Lepisosteus oculatus: one gene and its partner. The protein of the gene in region 2 binds, or shares a complex with, the protein of the main gene of each other region. Links are inferred from orthologs where the notes say so. Each region holds a gene or a part of one and is shown on either strand. Other genes may lie near its edges.

Region 1 (8,090 bases), on a different chromosome or scaffold from region 2:
CTTCCTCTGCGGGACACATTGGGGAGGGAGAGAGGAGGGGTGTCAAGTTTCACCGAATAGAACCAAAGCCTTTTAAAGGACAAGAGTCAGTGTGTCTCAGATGTGTTTCATGTTCTCATTTAAGAATATTCAAACAATGTAGGTAGAATAGAAGCATCATCGACAGCGCACATCAGAGGATCAGGTGCATGAAGTGTGCAGGAGCCACTCACTTTGTCATAAGGGGGGGGGATTCCATCGAAGACCTTCAGTCTCTCCAATGCAGCCTGGCCTCTTTTTGTTTTGTGTGGAAGCATACCTGTTTACAAAGAAAGGCATAATTACTTCTAAAAAGTCACCATAATTCTTTTTTTTTTTTAATTGAGCACCCCCTTGCTCAGCATTTGGTGAAGCCATGTTTGGCCCTATGCAGTAAAATTATTAAAGGGCATCTATATAGAAGATGCAACTTATCTTAAGTATCAGGGCTACGTTCCTGGAAAAAGACTTCACAAAAGCCTTCCAGAAAATGGAAAAGCATCGCTTTGATTGCAAGAAAAGTGCTGGTTTAACTATTATGGATATACACTATTAAGTAACGTTTATATAGGTTTAAAGAATATCTGAACTCAGCAGTCAGATCCATATTTTTGTCATCAGACCAGGTCAGGTTCGGGATAAGACTCATCACAGTTCAGGAATCAGCAGTCGAGAGCAAGTCGCAATGCCACCCATTTAGGTCAACGCATGCTGTGGCTTCTGTAAGCTGCCGTAACATCGAAGGCTCCAGCCCTCAGAGCGCCTCACCTCGCACTGTCCTCCAGAAGATCCTGCTGGGGGCTCTGAAATGGTAGGGCCCACGGGATGGGTTGGTGTTCATCCTTTTGCGCAAGAAGGCAAGGTACTTCACTGTTCCAAGACAAAAGCTCAACATGAGCATGACCAAACTGTGACAGCACCATGCACTTACTGTGCTACCCAAGACAAAGACCAGCCTCTACCTCCTGCTTAGCCACACATGCATTATTACATTGACTTCAGTTACCCACGGACCTAAGTTCTCAGTTTAGTACAAAAAAAATGCAAAGCCTGCTAGGAATAATGAATAGGTAAATTCTTTACACCATGACCAGAAAATGCATGATTTGCTCAGCAATTCTGTTCTAAGATCTTAGGTCACCCACAAGAAAGGCCATTTCCAGTTCGCTTTGGTCGCCACTATCCTTTTAAACTGAGGGATCCCCCGCAGATATGCCGCAAACATGGACTTAAACTGAAGTGCAGAAGAGGTCACTTACATTTGTTCCGGTAGAAGTTCCCAGAGATATTGATGCCCTCACACCTCACGACAACCACTTTGTGGCCTGTAAAAGTAACAGGCGGTTAGGCACATCGAAGGACTGCTGGACGCTGCCATTAAAAACCATCTGCCGTCTCAGATGGTAGTGCATGTCAAGTTTTCTCATGGTAGTTAAACTCGAACAATGTAGGATAAGCATCATCATAGACAGTCAGGTATTTGTCAGTCCATTTTTTAGACAACTGAACTTCTTAAAATGACCTCTAAAACGTTTATTTTAATAAACTACTTCAACTGGTAGTACAATCTGTAACTGCTTTTAGCAATTACATATTGCAGCAGAGGTAGAAGTGAAAGATGGTGAAAAAGGTGGCTTATTTACAACCAGGTACAAGCTCATTATGACACCAACCCTGCAATCAGAGGGGAAAAAGGCAGTGGGCACACGTCCCAGATGGGACACTGCACAGGTCCTCTTTCTTGAACAAGGGATATCACTTGGGCTGCTTCAGACAAAACTGCCCAAATAAACGACAGAAAGAAAGATTCTTACCAAGCAGAACCTGTTTGGCCACAATGGCAGCCAGGCGACCAAGCAGATGGCCTCTGCCATCGAGTAGCAGAACCTGGAGGAAAAGAAAATTACGAGTTAGAGCCGACGAGCTACTGCTGACCACCAGGGCATTGGGAATGAGCGCACTGCACCTCAGCAACTGCTACGTCGAAAAGTATTTCGCCACTAATTTGGGGGCAAACATTTTAAACTAAACTGAACGCAACGTCCTAATTCATATTAATAAAGATGGTCAACATCATATATAAACTGAAAAGGCCATCATTAACTGCACTCGCCAAGTAACACGCGTTGGTAAGAGTTGTGCTGAGCACACTTCTACGGGATCCAGATTTGGTTGCAAATTTCAGAAACTTATCACGCGGGACAACGTTTGCCATGAAAATCAATTATTCACTTACGAAAATGCTTCACCGACACCCAAGACCACTACAAAACGTTATTTTGTTTCTCAACACAAATCACAAAGGATGAGGTAATCACAAAACAAAAACCGTGAAAGGAAGAAACGCTTAATAGCACTTTCAAAGTAATACGTGAGGGAAACAACGTGTGGCGCTTTAATAAAAATTAATCGTTAAGTACATTCGCGCTTTACGACGGATGAAAATATGCAGCCCGGTTTTAAAACGAGGTTCTTCACAAAAGAAAATATTTTTACATCAACCAGAGCTGCCTACAATTGTACAGAATACCGCACTACACAGAAATGGGTCCGCTTCATCACACTGTCCGCAAGCATGAATGGATTCAGGCCTACGAGACACGCAGACATGGCGACGGGAATTATCTCATTACAGGCTTGGAGAGAAACTCAACATAACAGGGAGAAGGAAACAGAGCAGCAGCACGGACATTTTTGGAACATTCTTCAACGTGTCAGCCTAATTCGCAAATTGAAAACCTGATAACGTGCCCCAGAGACAGGGAGTACTCCATGCCGGTCCAACACTCCTATCGCAAGGCAAAACAAAACCACAAAATTCAATTGATTCACTGCACCAAACTCCTCGGTATTGAACACACGAAACAGAGAGACTTCCACACAGGCACTGACCCTTCCTCGGTTCCAGAATACCCATCTTTACCCAACATTTTTTGCCTGTGCACAGCAGCCCCGTAACACACCTTATTGAAGCGGTCCGCCATGATGTGGGAAAAGAGAGAGAAACGGGGACGCCGCGAGTAAAAATCAGGGGCGAGGGAGGAGCTTCGTGCAGAGAGGAAGCGCTGTTCGTGAGCCGGACGACGAACGTGTGACGGAAGACGTCGTGACGTCCGGCAGTGGCTGCTGACGACAATAATAAATAAAGAGAGAGGTAAAGCTTAACCGCTAAGACCTCGTGGCGCAACGGTAGCGCGTCTGACTCCAGATCAGAAGGCTGCGTGTTCAAATCACGTCGGGGTCATTCGTTTTTTATTAAGATCTCTTTTTTTTTAACGTTGACATATATAACAAGTCACATATTCGATGTTTAACCCTTACGCTATTTACAACCCCGGTAAATAGTAATATTCTAAGTGTCCCGTGTCTCACCTTCAGCCCTAAATCTAAAGTCTAGGCTCTTAAAATCTAAGATTTTAAAAACGCGTGTATAAATATACAGTTTATCAGAGATGATAATCCCTGAAACGGGCAGTCCACAGCTTTGGATGCATTGTGCGTTACTCTAGTTCTTTTACATCAGTGTGACTGTCTTGCCTGACTTCCTAACGAAACGTGGAGATATTTATCCCTAAAGAACTTTACATGCCAACACAGTTTTGTCAAGACTTTGGTACTACAAAGCTTCGTAGTTTTTTATCGAATTTAAATGAATTAGCTGGATATAGTAAGGTACTCCCAAAAACCTTTACTACAGTCTGCACCCCTTTGGCTCCTGAAATGTGTTCTCACACCTCTTATCAAAATTGCTTTATCAAAAAGTTTTATCATACATAGAAATACTACTTCTATATTATAAGAACGTTTTAAAATTAACACTTTTCAACCTGTTTTGGAATAATATATTTTAATTTTGCAGTAAAATTGAGAATACATGAACAATTCTAAAACAATCTAGCATGTTTAACACCCCAGAAAGGACAGCTGGGGTGTTTCGTTCGCCCCAAGTTAGGAGCCACTGCTCCAAGGAGTACTAAAATCGCCTAGTTGATAAATTTGCTAGCTATGCTAGTGACAGCTAGTCAGACAGCAGATCACAGTAACAGACAGCATGTGGAGTCCAGGCAGGTGCCAGAATGAGAATTCCAAGACTGACTAGTAATTTAGTAAAACTCCTACATGATAATTCTGGTCCAAATCATTCCGCATATTCTTTTGAGACACCCCCTGTTTGTCATATGAAATTGATGATCGACTTGGATCAATAGCACTGACAGTTCTCCCAAACTCTGCATGTGTAAGGTCGAAAAGGAGAGCTCTTTCTGATTTCTGTAGAGTGGGGTTCTACAGAAGCCCATATTCTGTGGGTTTTCATTCCTCTACGGCTCTCTCTGACCCACATCTCCTCCTTCCTCAGTTACTCCTGCTTGAATTAGTTCCAGAAAAGATGAAGTGACAGTGGCTTCCCTGATCACAATAAATCGGTGTCCTGAAAGTGGTGCTTTAATAGTGACGTATTAGACCAGCTGGATGTGGTTCTTCATGGCTGAAAATCCCCCTGTCACAAGTGTGTAGTTCCTGGTTTCAGGTCCAATCCACAACATTTTCAGACAGCTGGAGGGAGACTACCTTAATACGAATGTTTATATACTGTACAAAGCAATACAGGCACGCAGCTGGCAAATATACTTAAATTGCATCCCCAAATAATTAAACTTCTATACTGACAAATGTAGGATGCTGATTGGTATTTTGGTTAAGGTTTCTTAAACAGAGATGCAGAACAACATCACTCCTTTCGTAATTCCTTTGTGTAACAACATGCATTACTCCATAGTATCACTTATACCAATAGAATCACAGGCATTTATTCGTTCTTATTCATAATGTTTAAGAAACATGCTTTCAGATGAAAAAATGAGGAGGTGAGAAATGATGAGGACTTTCTGCAGATGCAGCTCAGGCCCTGGAGTGTTTGTACAAAAGTTTATTTTGCTTGATGTTTTTAATGCAGGGTGTCATGATGTTGAATTAGTTATGATTGTCACATAGCCCCATTCAAATAAAGCATTATCAGTATTTTCCCTAACAGAGTAAAATCTAAGATACAGTGAGATTCTTTTACAATAAAAACAACACAGACAAAGGTTCCCTGTTGAAAATGATATGTGCATTTACTTGACATGGCATGTATAACAGAACATCAGCAAACTGCAGGACGGGCGGCACAGAGCCCGTGGGGTGGTGGGGGGGGCTCGCCTGGCAGATCCGCCCCACTCAGTCGTCGTGCTTGAGCTTCCTGATCTGGCCCTTGCGGCGGTCGATCTCTCGCTGCAGGCGCTCGATCTCCTTCTTGTGATGGTCAATCTCCTCTTCGTGGTGCTTCTTCAGGGCACTGAGGGCCTCGCGCTCCTTCTGCCTGAAGAGGGGGCAGAAGGAAAAAAAGAACAGGGTAAGAATGGGGATAAGTAAGCTAAAGACATCAACAACATCAACAAAAGTCAAGCACAAAATGGGAGCAAAATCAGAGCTCTGGTTTGTTATAAGGACCATTAGCCCCGATGACAACTTTCACACTTTCCCTGCTTCTGGTGTCCACTCAGTCCCCTGTATCGCCCCCTTGTGGTGGTCCCAGCCAATCAATCAATCAAGGTTTATTTAACAATGCACGAACAGTACAGCAAATATGGGCGTTGTCTGCAATGAAACGCTTTATCCGCGAGCTCGTTAAGAGGGATAGAAGAGGAGTAGGACAGAAGTTTCTAGGGATTAGGTTAGGATTGCAATACAATAAATTAAATAAATTACTACTTACAAAACAGTTACAGATTGCAGGAACGTAACACAAGGATAGGAGGTATTTAGCGCTGTTCATATGGACAGCGGGAGCACGCGGTCTCTGACCACCTGTGGGCACCTCTTCAAGACCCACCTGTGTAGACTCTGCCTTCAGACTGTGCGAGTCGCCATTTGAATTTCTGCACCGTGTGTCGTTTTGCTTTTAAGCTCCCGCTGACCATCGAGCGGGCAGAGCACCTACTTGAAGTATCGCTCCTCCTCGGCCGCTTCCCTCTTTCCAAACGCCCCGCCGGCCTCACGCACCGATCCCCCGCCGCCGCCTCCCTTTCCTGCCCCCTTGCCCAGCTCGCCCAGCTGCAACAAGAGGACCGCGCATTAAAACATGACATGAGTCCCGTGTACACAATGGCACGATTCACCTGGACAGCGGGCCATCCATTCATTCTCCAACCTCTTCTTAGAATCCGGGGTCGTAGAGGAGCTGGAACCAATCCCAGCAAGCAACAGGCACAAGGCAGGGCACACCCTGGACGGGACGCCAGTTCATCACAGGGCTCAGACACACACTAACTCCCACCAGGGCCAATTTTTCCCACAAAAGTTGCTGGTTAACCCATCAGTGCGTCTTTGTCTTGTGGGAGGAAACCCATGCAAATAGGCTGAGAACATAAAAACTTCACACACACAGCTCCCCAGGCTTGGTATTGAACCCAGGGTCCCAGCACTGGAAGCAGCATGTCTTGTGTAAGAGCTCTTATTTACTATATGCATTTGCTGCAATGGCAATAGAATAAAGATCTGAATACGACTACACAAACAGGCTCCTCAACACCCTGGAATCTACTTGCACCCGCCCCAATTCCAGAAACAGGGTTTAAATCCCCCCCCCCCCCAGTGCGTTGTGTATATTGTATTATGTATTTGCACTATGTGTATCCTGTCTACAATGTCTATGTCAGTGTCCTGTCTGTATTTGCACCGTGGACCTCTATACTGTATACTTGTTTATGGCTGGAATGACAAATAAACGTGAACTTGAACTTGAGAGGGCAAGACTTTACAGCTGTACTCATTCCCCCATGGCATGCTTCCATAATTCTTCAAACAAGTCATCTAACAATCACGTTTAATCTCCTGAATCTACCTACATTATTATTAAAAGCAGTTGTGCTTCCTTTCTCTGCAATCACGTATTCGTCCTTTGCATCTCTATGCGTAGAGGGCTGCTCTGTCTGCAGGTTTTCATTCCAATTTGACTCGTATCGACCTAAACCAGTTTGCAATTGGCTTAATTGGACTAGTTTTCTCAATTTCTTACTTCTCGGGTGATGCTGCTTTAAAGAGGCCTGAAAAACCTGCAGACAGACTCCATGACAGCAGTTGGATCACAGCAGCTCTCTAAAACAAAGAAAGTTTAAAAATCCCTTCGTCACTCCAAGGGCTGAGGGACCGTGAAGCACTTCACCAGTAATGCAGTTGCAGCCAAATACCCCGGCTTGTTTTATGAAATCTCTGGATCAAATCCTCAGATCAGACCGGCTGGATGAGCCAAATAGCCTTATCTTATTTGTTATATAAACTGTGGAACTTTATTGTTAAGCCAATAGAAAGTTCACTGTGCAATTTCAAATATAAATGAGTAAGTGACCCAACCCAGACCAGCTATTTAATAAAATAAACGTCTCTTTAAATGATTAAGAAAAACGAAGTTAATGTAAATCGTTGCAACGGCAATCATCGTAATACCCCTTTGTTACTTCTCTCGTAAATAAAGGTGAAATTAATCAAAGACAACAAAACAAGAACAGACTTTCAGGGCCGCGCATTCTTCATTGCGTATGACTTCTTCACTTTAACAGCAGAATAATGTGTAAACCTCACTTTCCCAGGCTTGGAAATTTTACATTTTCGTAAACACCCCCCTTACCTGGCTTGAATCCGATGACATCCTAATCTGAGCTGCGAGGAGACCCCTAAAGTTAGACCTCAAAAATCTAGCCATTTTCTATTCCCCTCGCTTTCAAACAGTCGCTGTCAAGTCAGGGTGTCCTTGTGTTTTATATGGAAAGCCTCGGGCCCACCAACACCTTTCACGGAGTGTGTTTTTGTGCGGTACCTTTAAGATACAAAGCTCGATCTCCCTCTGTGAATATCAATACAATAAAATCAGTATAAACATCTATGTCTCACTATCAATAACAACAAACTCTGGACATGTTGGACACGCCTCTGCAACACGTTAGAGATTGTAAACCGCAGTTAATACTCTACAACGCCGGGTAAAAAGTACAGTTGGCCCTTTCTGACACCTAGGGGGCTCTCGGTCAGAGGTT
Region 2 (7,142 bases):
GGCATGGCATCCTACTGTCACTGTAGTATTGTTTCCTTTACCTGTCTGTAATAAAACTACACGCTGCTTATGTAACCGAGAGTAGCTTTTGCTGGATGGGGGGAGGGTGTATTTACTGGAGGAGAAATTCACCAAGCCATGAGCCTGATGTGAAGGGAAACTCTCCACCACCCGCGGTGATTCCTTGATCCCGGCCGGCTGGAGGAGTTCGACACCCCCCCGAGGAGAGAGGCTGGAGAGACCCGGGCCCCAGGTCCCATCTCCGTCGGGTCCTGCCCTCGTCGTGTGCCGCTTGTTCATCGTCAACAAACCAACACCGTGTCCGGAGATGCTGTCAAAATAAAAGATTTGTGTGGGTTTTCGGAGTCTGGGCTGCATTATTACTGTCGGAGCTCCGTCGTGGGACAGCTCCTTGATCAGATCCGAAGATGCGACGTTGCAGTTTCTCGCGAAGCCACTGGGTGTCAGCATTGCGACGCGTATTAACAAAAAGGCGCCGCTTCCCCATGAGAAACGTTTCACCTGTTGGCAGTTCAGCTCGGAGACAGGGGACGCACTTTCTTTAAAAGGGGGAACAAGGCGGGGCTGTTTCTTGTAAGTTTAGTTCCTACAGTGGATCGAGGTAAACTTGAATTCACAATAAACCTCTTACACTAAGTACACACTCTTAACAAGTCAAGATTCTATAGTGATACCGACGTTCATAAAAAAAGGGTGATTGTCCTTTATCGATCAGGGTAAGTGCTTGCTGGGGCTGGATTTGCACAGCGCAAGAGCCCCTCCAAGTCCGACCACTTGCTGTTGTCCATGCCTTTCACCTGTCCCGGCTCCGAAACGACGGTCGTCCCGTCCTCCGCAGAAGCGCTGACCAGCTGGAAACCAGCTGTGGGTCGAGCGAGATGTCTTTTAGATGGCTCGGTCAGTAATGAACAGGTTCTGACCGGGATGCAAGCAACCCCCTTTTCATACCGCAGCGTGTGGCATTCACCGAAGGAGGACTCTGGGAGTGGATGGAGAGGGGAAGCCGGGGGTCGGGTTTTCAAGCGAGGGCCAAATATGTCTCTGTCGGCCCGGTCTAGCCGGCGCCAGGATTTCCGATTCCCTCCGTCCAGGCCGCCCACAGCAGTTCCCTGCCCGGCCACTGAGGTCAGATCCCCCTGCGGTCCGGTGTCTACCGGGGCTGAGCGGGGTTTCGGACCCGAGCGGCTCTCCCAATTTTTTATTTGTCCCCTTTTTTGCCTCCTTTCCTCGGGAGCTTGGCACTGGACCCAGTCGCCGGTAGGCTCGTCGTGCTGAGTGCTGGCGGAGCGCCTGGCTGGTCGGACCCGGTGCCAAACTACCTATTTTCCCTGCTGCCCGGCTGGGGGGGGGGGGAGGGTATCTTGGCTCACCCGGCCAGTCATTAACGACACCCCCAAGAAGGTTCCACAGCCGAAACGTGGTTTCCTTTCTTCTCTTTAGGCACTGCAGATCAGGCACTGCAGATACAGTACAGTGTAGATTAGACTCTGTAGATACAGTACAGTGTGGACCTGCTCTGTAGATACAGTACAGTATAGATTAGACTGTGTAGATACAGTACAGTGTAGATCTGCTCTGTAGATACAGTACAGTGTAGACCTGCTCTGTAGATACAGTACAGTGTAGATCAGGCTCTGTAGATACAGTACAGTGTAGATTAGACTCTGTAGATACAGTACAGTGTGGACCTGCTCTGTAGATACAGTACAGTGTAGATTAGACTCTGTAGATACAGTACAGTGTAGATCTGCTCTGTAGATACAGTACAGTGTAGACCTGCTCTGTAGATACAGTACAGTGTAGATCAGGCTCTGTAGATACAGTACAGTGTAGATTAGACTCTGTAGATACAGTACAGTGTGGACCTGCTCTGTAGATACAGTACAGTGTAGATTAGACTCTGTAGATACAGTACAGTGTAGACCTCCTCTGTAGATACAGTACAGTGTAGATCTGCTCTGTAGATACAGTACAGTGTAGATCAGTCTCTGTAGATACAGTACAGTGAAGACCAGGCTCTGTAAATACGGTACAATGTAAATCTGGTATATAATGTAGTATATCTGTTCTGCCCTATAATGTAGTATAGTACATTATAGGGCAGAACAGCACACCATAGACAGCTACATTGATAAATTGCAGTATCAATCTGGCACTATATATAATACAGTACAGTTTGTACCTTACTCGGGGAAATACAGTACAGTGTAGTGCAAGCATATCCATGGTGACTTAAAGGCAATTTCAGACACTGCGACTGACTGCCTGGGCATTAGCACCACGGTGAAAGAGCGAGGTACAGAGAGTGGGGGCACGGAAAGGTCAGGGTCCTTCCAGCGAGCGCTGAGCTGACCTTTTCCTAGCTCCCAGACGGAAATCGATCCCCCCAGTCTCTCCGTCTCTGGAGAAGGTCAGATGCAGGCAACCGATCTCGCCAACCAGACTCCCGGCGCTCACGCCCCTGTCCGCCTGTCCTGGCGGCGGCGTGTGTGGCCTGAATGTCTTTGCGAGTGCGCCTCTGCCTCTGAGTTTTAGACCATGGCCCGTCTCTTTCACTCGCATGCAGTCGTAACCCGACGGCCGGGGTAGGAACGGCAGACGCGCGGATCCCCACGTAGCCCCAGTGCGGCCGATCCAGCGTGTGCTCGGTCGCCGTGGCAACGCAGCCACAGAGCCTCCTCGCAGCCAACGAGTGACGTCGGAGAGTCGGAGTGGCAGCGGAGGCCACCAATAAGACAAAGGGGGAGGGGCAGGGGGCGGGGAGGCCGTCTCCGGGATAGGTCGTGAGGCTAGAAACTTAATTACAAACCCGCTCATCGGCTGCCGTTTACACTGGCAAAACACTTCTTGCGATTCGCTCTCTTGTATACGTTAAAGTCATGCGCGTCTGCTGCTCTCCTGTCTATTAACCATTACTATTTTAAGTATTTCATAATTTATTGAAGTAGTTCAGGTGGGGAGCTGCGTCAGCATGAATAGGCTGCAGAGGAACAATGGAGTCATGCCCTGCTGAAAAGAGAAGAAAAGAAACACAACGTTCTCTTTTCATCATGGAATAAACCTATTACTTGTTCCATGAATAATTTATTGGTTACGAAACCACCCTATTCTTCTTCTGCTTTTATTCTAGTAGCTGTAGCAACAGCCTCTATTATCTTTCTCAAAGGCACCTTTACACATTTGGGAAGGGTCAATGCTTACACAGCACCCCAGAGATCAAATGTCACACCTGCGCTGTGGCCTAACCACCCCTGACCGCGGTAATATGACAGGCTGCTCATGATGAATTCGGAGCCTCCTGTCTCCTGCATCAAGGAGACCTTTGTACTGAAGACGAGGCGACGCCTCCGGCCTGCGCCAGCCAATAGGAACGCGTCCCCCTCGCCACACCCAGCGCGCCAGCATCACCCACGTCTTTCTAATATAGGTGCCATACACGGGTCTTTCAAACTCCTTCATTCCACGAAGGAGAACTCTGAAGTGCATATTATTAGCTCATCTCCAAACCACCCCACCCCACAAAAAAACAACGCGTTGCAGTATGCAGTATCGCGTTTGTTAACAGTACTTTTGAAATAATCTTTGCGCTTTGAGAAGCCACCTTTAAAGGCGCTATATAAAATAAAGTTTATTATTATTATAATCTCTCACTTCAATTCTGTATTGTGATATAGTGCACGGGGCCATCGCATTAGATCAAGAATAAATGCATGAGGTCACAAGCAATAAGAGCAAGGGAAACATACAAAAAAAAAAGCATCGGGACACTTCCCATGCAGCGCCGTGACGCACTATCCCCGCACGCTGCTCGCGTGTGTTCTGCAGGAGCCGTCATGGCGGCCGCGGACTCGGGTGACCTTGAGGTTCCGCCCGCGGAGCGCCGGCAGGAGGCAGGGCGGGGAGGGGGGGGGCGTGACCGTCGCCAGCTTACCGGTATAAAGTGCACCAGCCCGGCCACTGGCTCTTCACTCCACTGAAAGTCAGAGTTTCCGGAAGGGCAGAGGAGCTGTAACTCACAAACGGTAAGTATGTGGTTTCCTGAAGCTGGACTTTGTGTTGAGTGTCTAGGGATGTAATAGGGCTCAATATACCACTTTTTTGCGCCTTTGTATTTGGAGCTATCGGATAGACTATTTGCATCTGTCGTCTGTGCACCTAGCAGTCGTTTTGCTGTGAAGTGCCCAGTTCTGTGCGGAAAGGTCTTGTTTTCGGAGGCTGCAAGGCTGTATCGTCTTCTAATGACGCGCTCCTACTGCACAGTACCGCTGTTCTTCGCTTGATTGGGGTTCTCTGCTCCTCCGTCTTGCAACACCTCCGTTTCGCGTAAAGGAATACTTGTAGTGTGTGTGTGTGGGGGGGGTGGAGAGATGGCGACCTGCTTGCTTCATTGTCGCTTACCGTTTAGCGAGCGAGCACGGCTGCAGTCTCAAGTCTAGCATGGCGCCGTGTGTGAATCGTAAGCTCGCTGCGTTGTGAGTGCGCCGATGTTCTACGGAATACGGCTCCCCTCCGACATAGGTGCGAGTTTAATGTTCGCCAGTTCTCATTTCTACAGGATGCTTAGTGTGGGTGGGCGGTATCTGTTGAAGTGCCTAGGGACGGTTCTGGCTTCGGTACAACCTTGTACTTAAAGGAGAAACGGGAAAACTTTTGGAACTAGTTTCGTTTTTTTATTTTTGGCGGTTGGCTTATGACGTTTTAGACGCTACTGCGCCTGAGCTTGTTCCGTGTCATTCGGGGTGCATTTTTTCTTAATGTTTTTTTTTTTTGTTTCCTCCTTCTAGACGAGGACTTTAACCTGTTAACCATGGTGAAAATTGGAATCAACGGGTGAGTAAACCTTCATCAGGTCACTGATCCACTGTGTGGAAGGTGTAAGTGATCCAACTTTGTGTGTTGGATCTGGTGCACATGAGAGCCTAATTTCAAAGTCTAACGTCCTGAAAGGGCCTGCCATCTCATTCTTGTAATTCGGTTAACCTGGTTTCATTTAAGCATCTAACCAGTTTTGGAGGTAACTGGCTTTCATTCTTTCAAGATGTGCATTTAGCTTTGAATGCTTTAGGCTTCATGAGGAGGAGAGCTCTTGACTTGAAGTGGCTCTCCACCTTGGCCTTTAAGCAGTGCCTCCAAATTTGGGAGTGTTGTTCAACGGAGCTCAAAAGGTCAGGAGAGGAGCAGATAATGTCTCTTCTGCCCCAGTGGAACCTGTGGGCCTACATGACCTGCTTGGATTAAGGGGAAACTTGATTGCTCCACTATATAGTGTGGGTAGTAACTATCCCTCCAGATCCTGGTTTCACATGGCTCTCTTTGAGGTCCTTGTGCCTTACATTGACTGAAATGGCTACACCTCAGTCTGTTATGTACTGATCTGGAAGAGGCTGTGCTATTTGTACCGCTCTGGACATGAGTACACAACAGCAGGGGCTTAATCTGACTCTTATTGTAGGTGCTCATTTGCAACCTTGGGTTCACCAGCAACTCCCAATCGGGTGTCCAGCTGATGCATTTCCACCTGGGACTTTGAGTCTGAGGCCAGTGCTTTTGAGTCTGGTGCCCTAACCCACCGGGGGGAGGCCTGATCAGAGAGCTTTTAGCCTGTGAAGCTAAAAGCGGTTATCTCAAGACTCGAGGGTCTTAACCTGGCTTTGCACAAGACAGCTGGAGACCGGCTTTCAACATGGCTGAGTTTCTTGTTCCATCTTCCCCATAACCCATTGGGTGCAGTGCTCCCCCCTTGTTCTGCGGTTTTATTCTGGCAGGTTGCTTGGCTTGATTTCCTCGGCCCCTAGCTGGCTTTTGCAGTGTTGCCACTGGCCCAACTGGGTGGGGAGAAGAACGATCTGGAAGTCGGACCAAGCCCAGCAAGCTTGGAGTGTCAACTAGGTGGTTAATGATGCCAGTGTTCCTCCCTGGCATGACTTTAGATTAGCTGACTAAACTACGCTCCTACAAAGCCATCGGTGTTTGAGTTTCTGCTTCAGTTGCTTGATTTGCTGGGGGTGGATCCAAAGACCCATATTGCCACAATATTGTTACACCCAAACTACCAGCTGTCCTGCTGAGTCGCAAGTGCTACTGCACTGTCTGGCTTGCTCTCTGCTCCCCTTAGTCCAGAGAGACGGCGAGCTGCTATCTTGCTTGGATTCAAAAACTAAAACCACATGTAAAGATCAGGGGTTATAGTGAAACTTCAGTCCCTGATCTCCATGCCACTTTTGAATACTGGGGTGGGGGGACTGTAAGTTTAGATTGAGTGCCCCAGTCAAACATTAAGGCTGGTAGTCTGGAGGTTTGCCCTACACCTCCTTGCCCTGTTCGTCTACTGTACTCTTCAGTCTGTGCTCTGTAACCTGTACAGTTGGCCTCTTGGTCTGCTCTATTTTTAGTTTAGTTCTGTTAAGTGACACTAGTCGAGGCACAGCTGTCGCATTCTTCTCTGCCTATTTTAGGCGAATAACCTTTCTTGAAGGCTGGGGGTCATCCAGTGATCTTTAACTCCGACCTCTAGCCTTTTCCTGGGTGGAATGTGGTCCACAAATGAGATCCGTTCAGTAATGGCATTTTAGTTATAGGTCAGGCTCCCACTCTGTGACCTGGAGTGGTTCAGTCAGCTTTGCTGGTTGTGGAGGCGCTATACAACCCAAGCCTGCAGTTCCTAAGTGGGTTTCCCACTACAGGATGTGTTAGACCTCTGTACAGCAGGTGCTGGCTTGTCCTGATGATGCCCACCACTTGAACCCGAGATGCACTTCTGGAAGCTAGTGTTAAAATGGGAATTCAGCTGCATGAAAGGACACAATAGGGTTTATAATTTTAAAGGACCTTCTCCAATCAAGCCTGGTGACTTACAAGGGCTGCCCATTTCAGTTCTGGTGTGCTGTGGCTTTTTTCAGGCTTTCCTCTCCAGCTGAAGAAGGGAGCAGTGGGATGACTCCTCCCCTCCAGTTTGGAGGTAGCCAGCCAGTCAGGACTGGGGTGGGGCAGTGGGGAGATAATGGACCCACTTCTGACTTTAGACCCAGATAAAACCCTGTTTATCAATTACTTTTATGGAAGTGTGTGAATGTTCTGTGCTTGCTTCCTACTATGAACAGCCCCTTTCTGCAGAAGAGGAC

Evidence for each region. Proteins that work in one complex are often made in the same cells at the same time.
Region 1: gapdh (region 2) and rpl13a share a complex: the UniProt entries of both Homo sapiens proteins name them as parts of the GAIT complex. The link is inferred for Lepisosteus oculatus from reciprocal best matches to the Homo sapiens genes GAPDH and RPL13A.

Annotation. Positions count from the first base shown.
Region 1 is NC_090706.1:7,938,243-7,946,332, reverse strand, and holds the start of rpl13a (large ribosomal subunit protein uL13), read right to left. Parts: upstream 3,079-8,090; 5' UTR 3,003-3,078; coding exon 2,982-3,002; intron 1,906-2,981; coding exon 1,833-1,905; intron 1,492-1,832; exon of another isoform or gene 1,409-1,491; intron 1,344-1,408; coding exon 1,278-1,343; intron 889-1,277; coding exon 787-888; intron 676-786; exon of another isoform or gene 606-675; intron 299-605; coding exon 213-298; intron 168-212; exon of another isoform or gene 90-167; intron 7-89; coding exon 1-6. Other genes in the region: atp5if1b (ATPase inhibitor B, mitochondrial), read right to left, coding at 5,236-5,377, 5,999-6,111, 7,685-7,759. UniProt on the Homo sapiens protein: Associated with ribosomes but is not required for canonical ribosome function and has extra-ribosomal functions.
Region 2 is NC_090718.1:3,652,612-3,659,753, forward strand, and holds the start of gapdh (glyceraldehyde-3-phosphate dehydrogenase), read left to right. Parts: upstream 1-3,942; 5' UTR 3,943-4,043; intron 4,044-4,805; 5' UTR 4,806-4,828; coding exon 4,829-4,851; intron 4,852-7,142. UniProt on the Homo sapiens protein: Has both glyceraldehyde-3-phosphate dehydrogenase and nitrosylase activities, thereby playing a role in glycolysis and nuclear functions, respectively.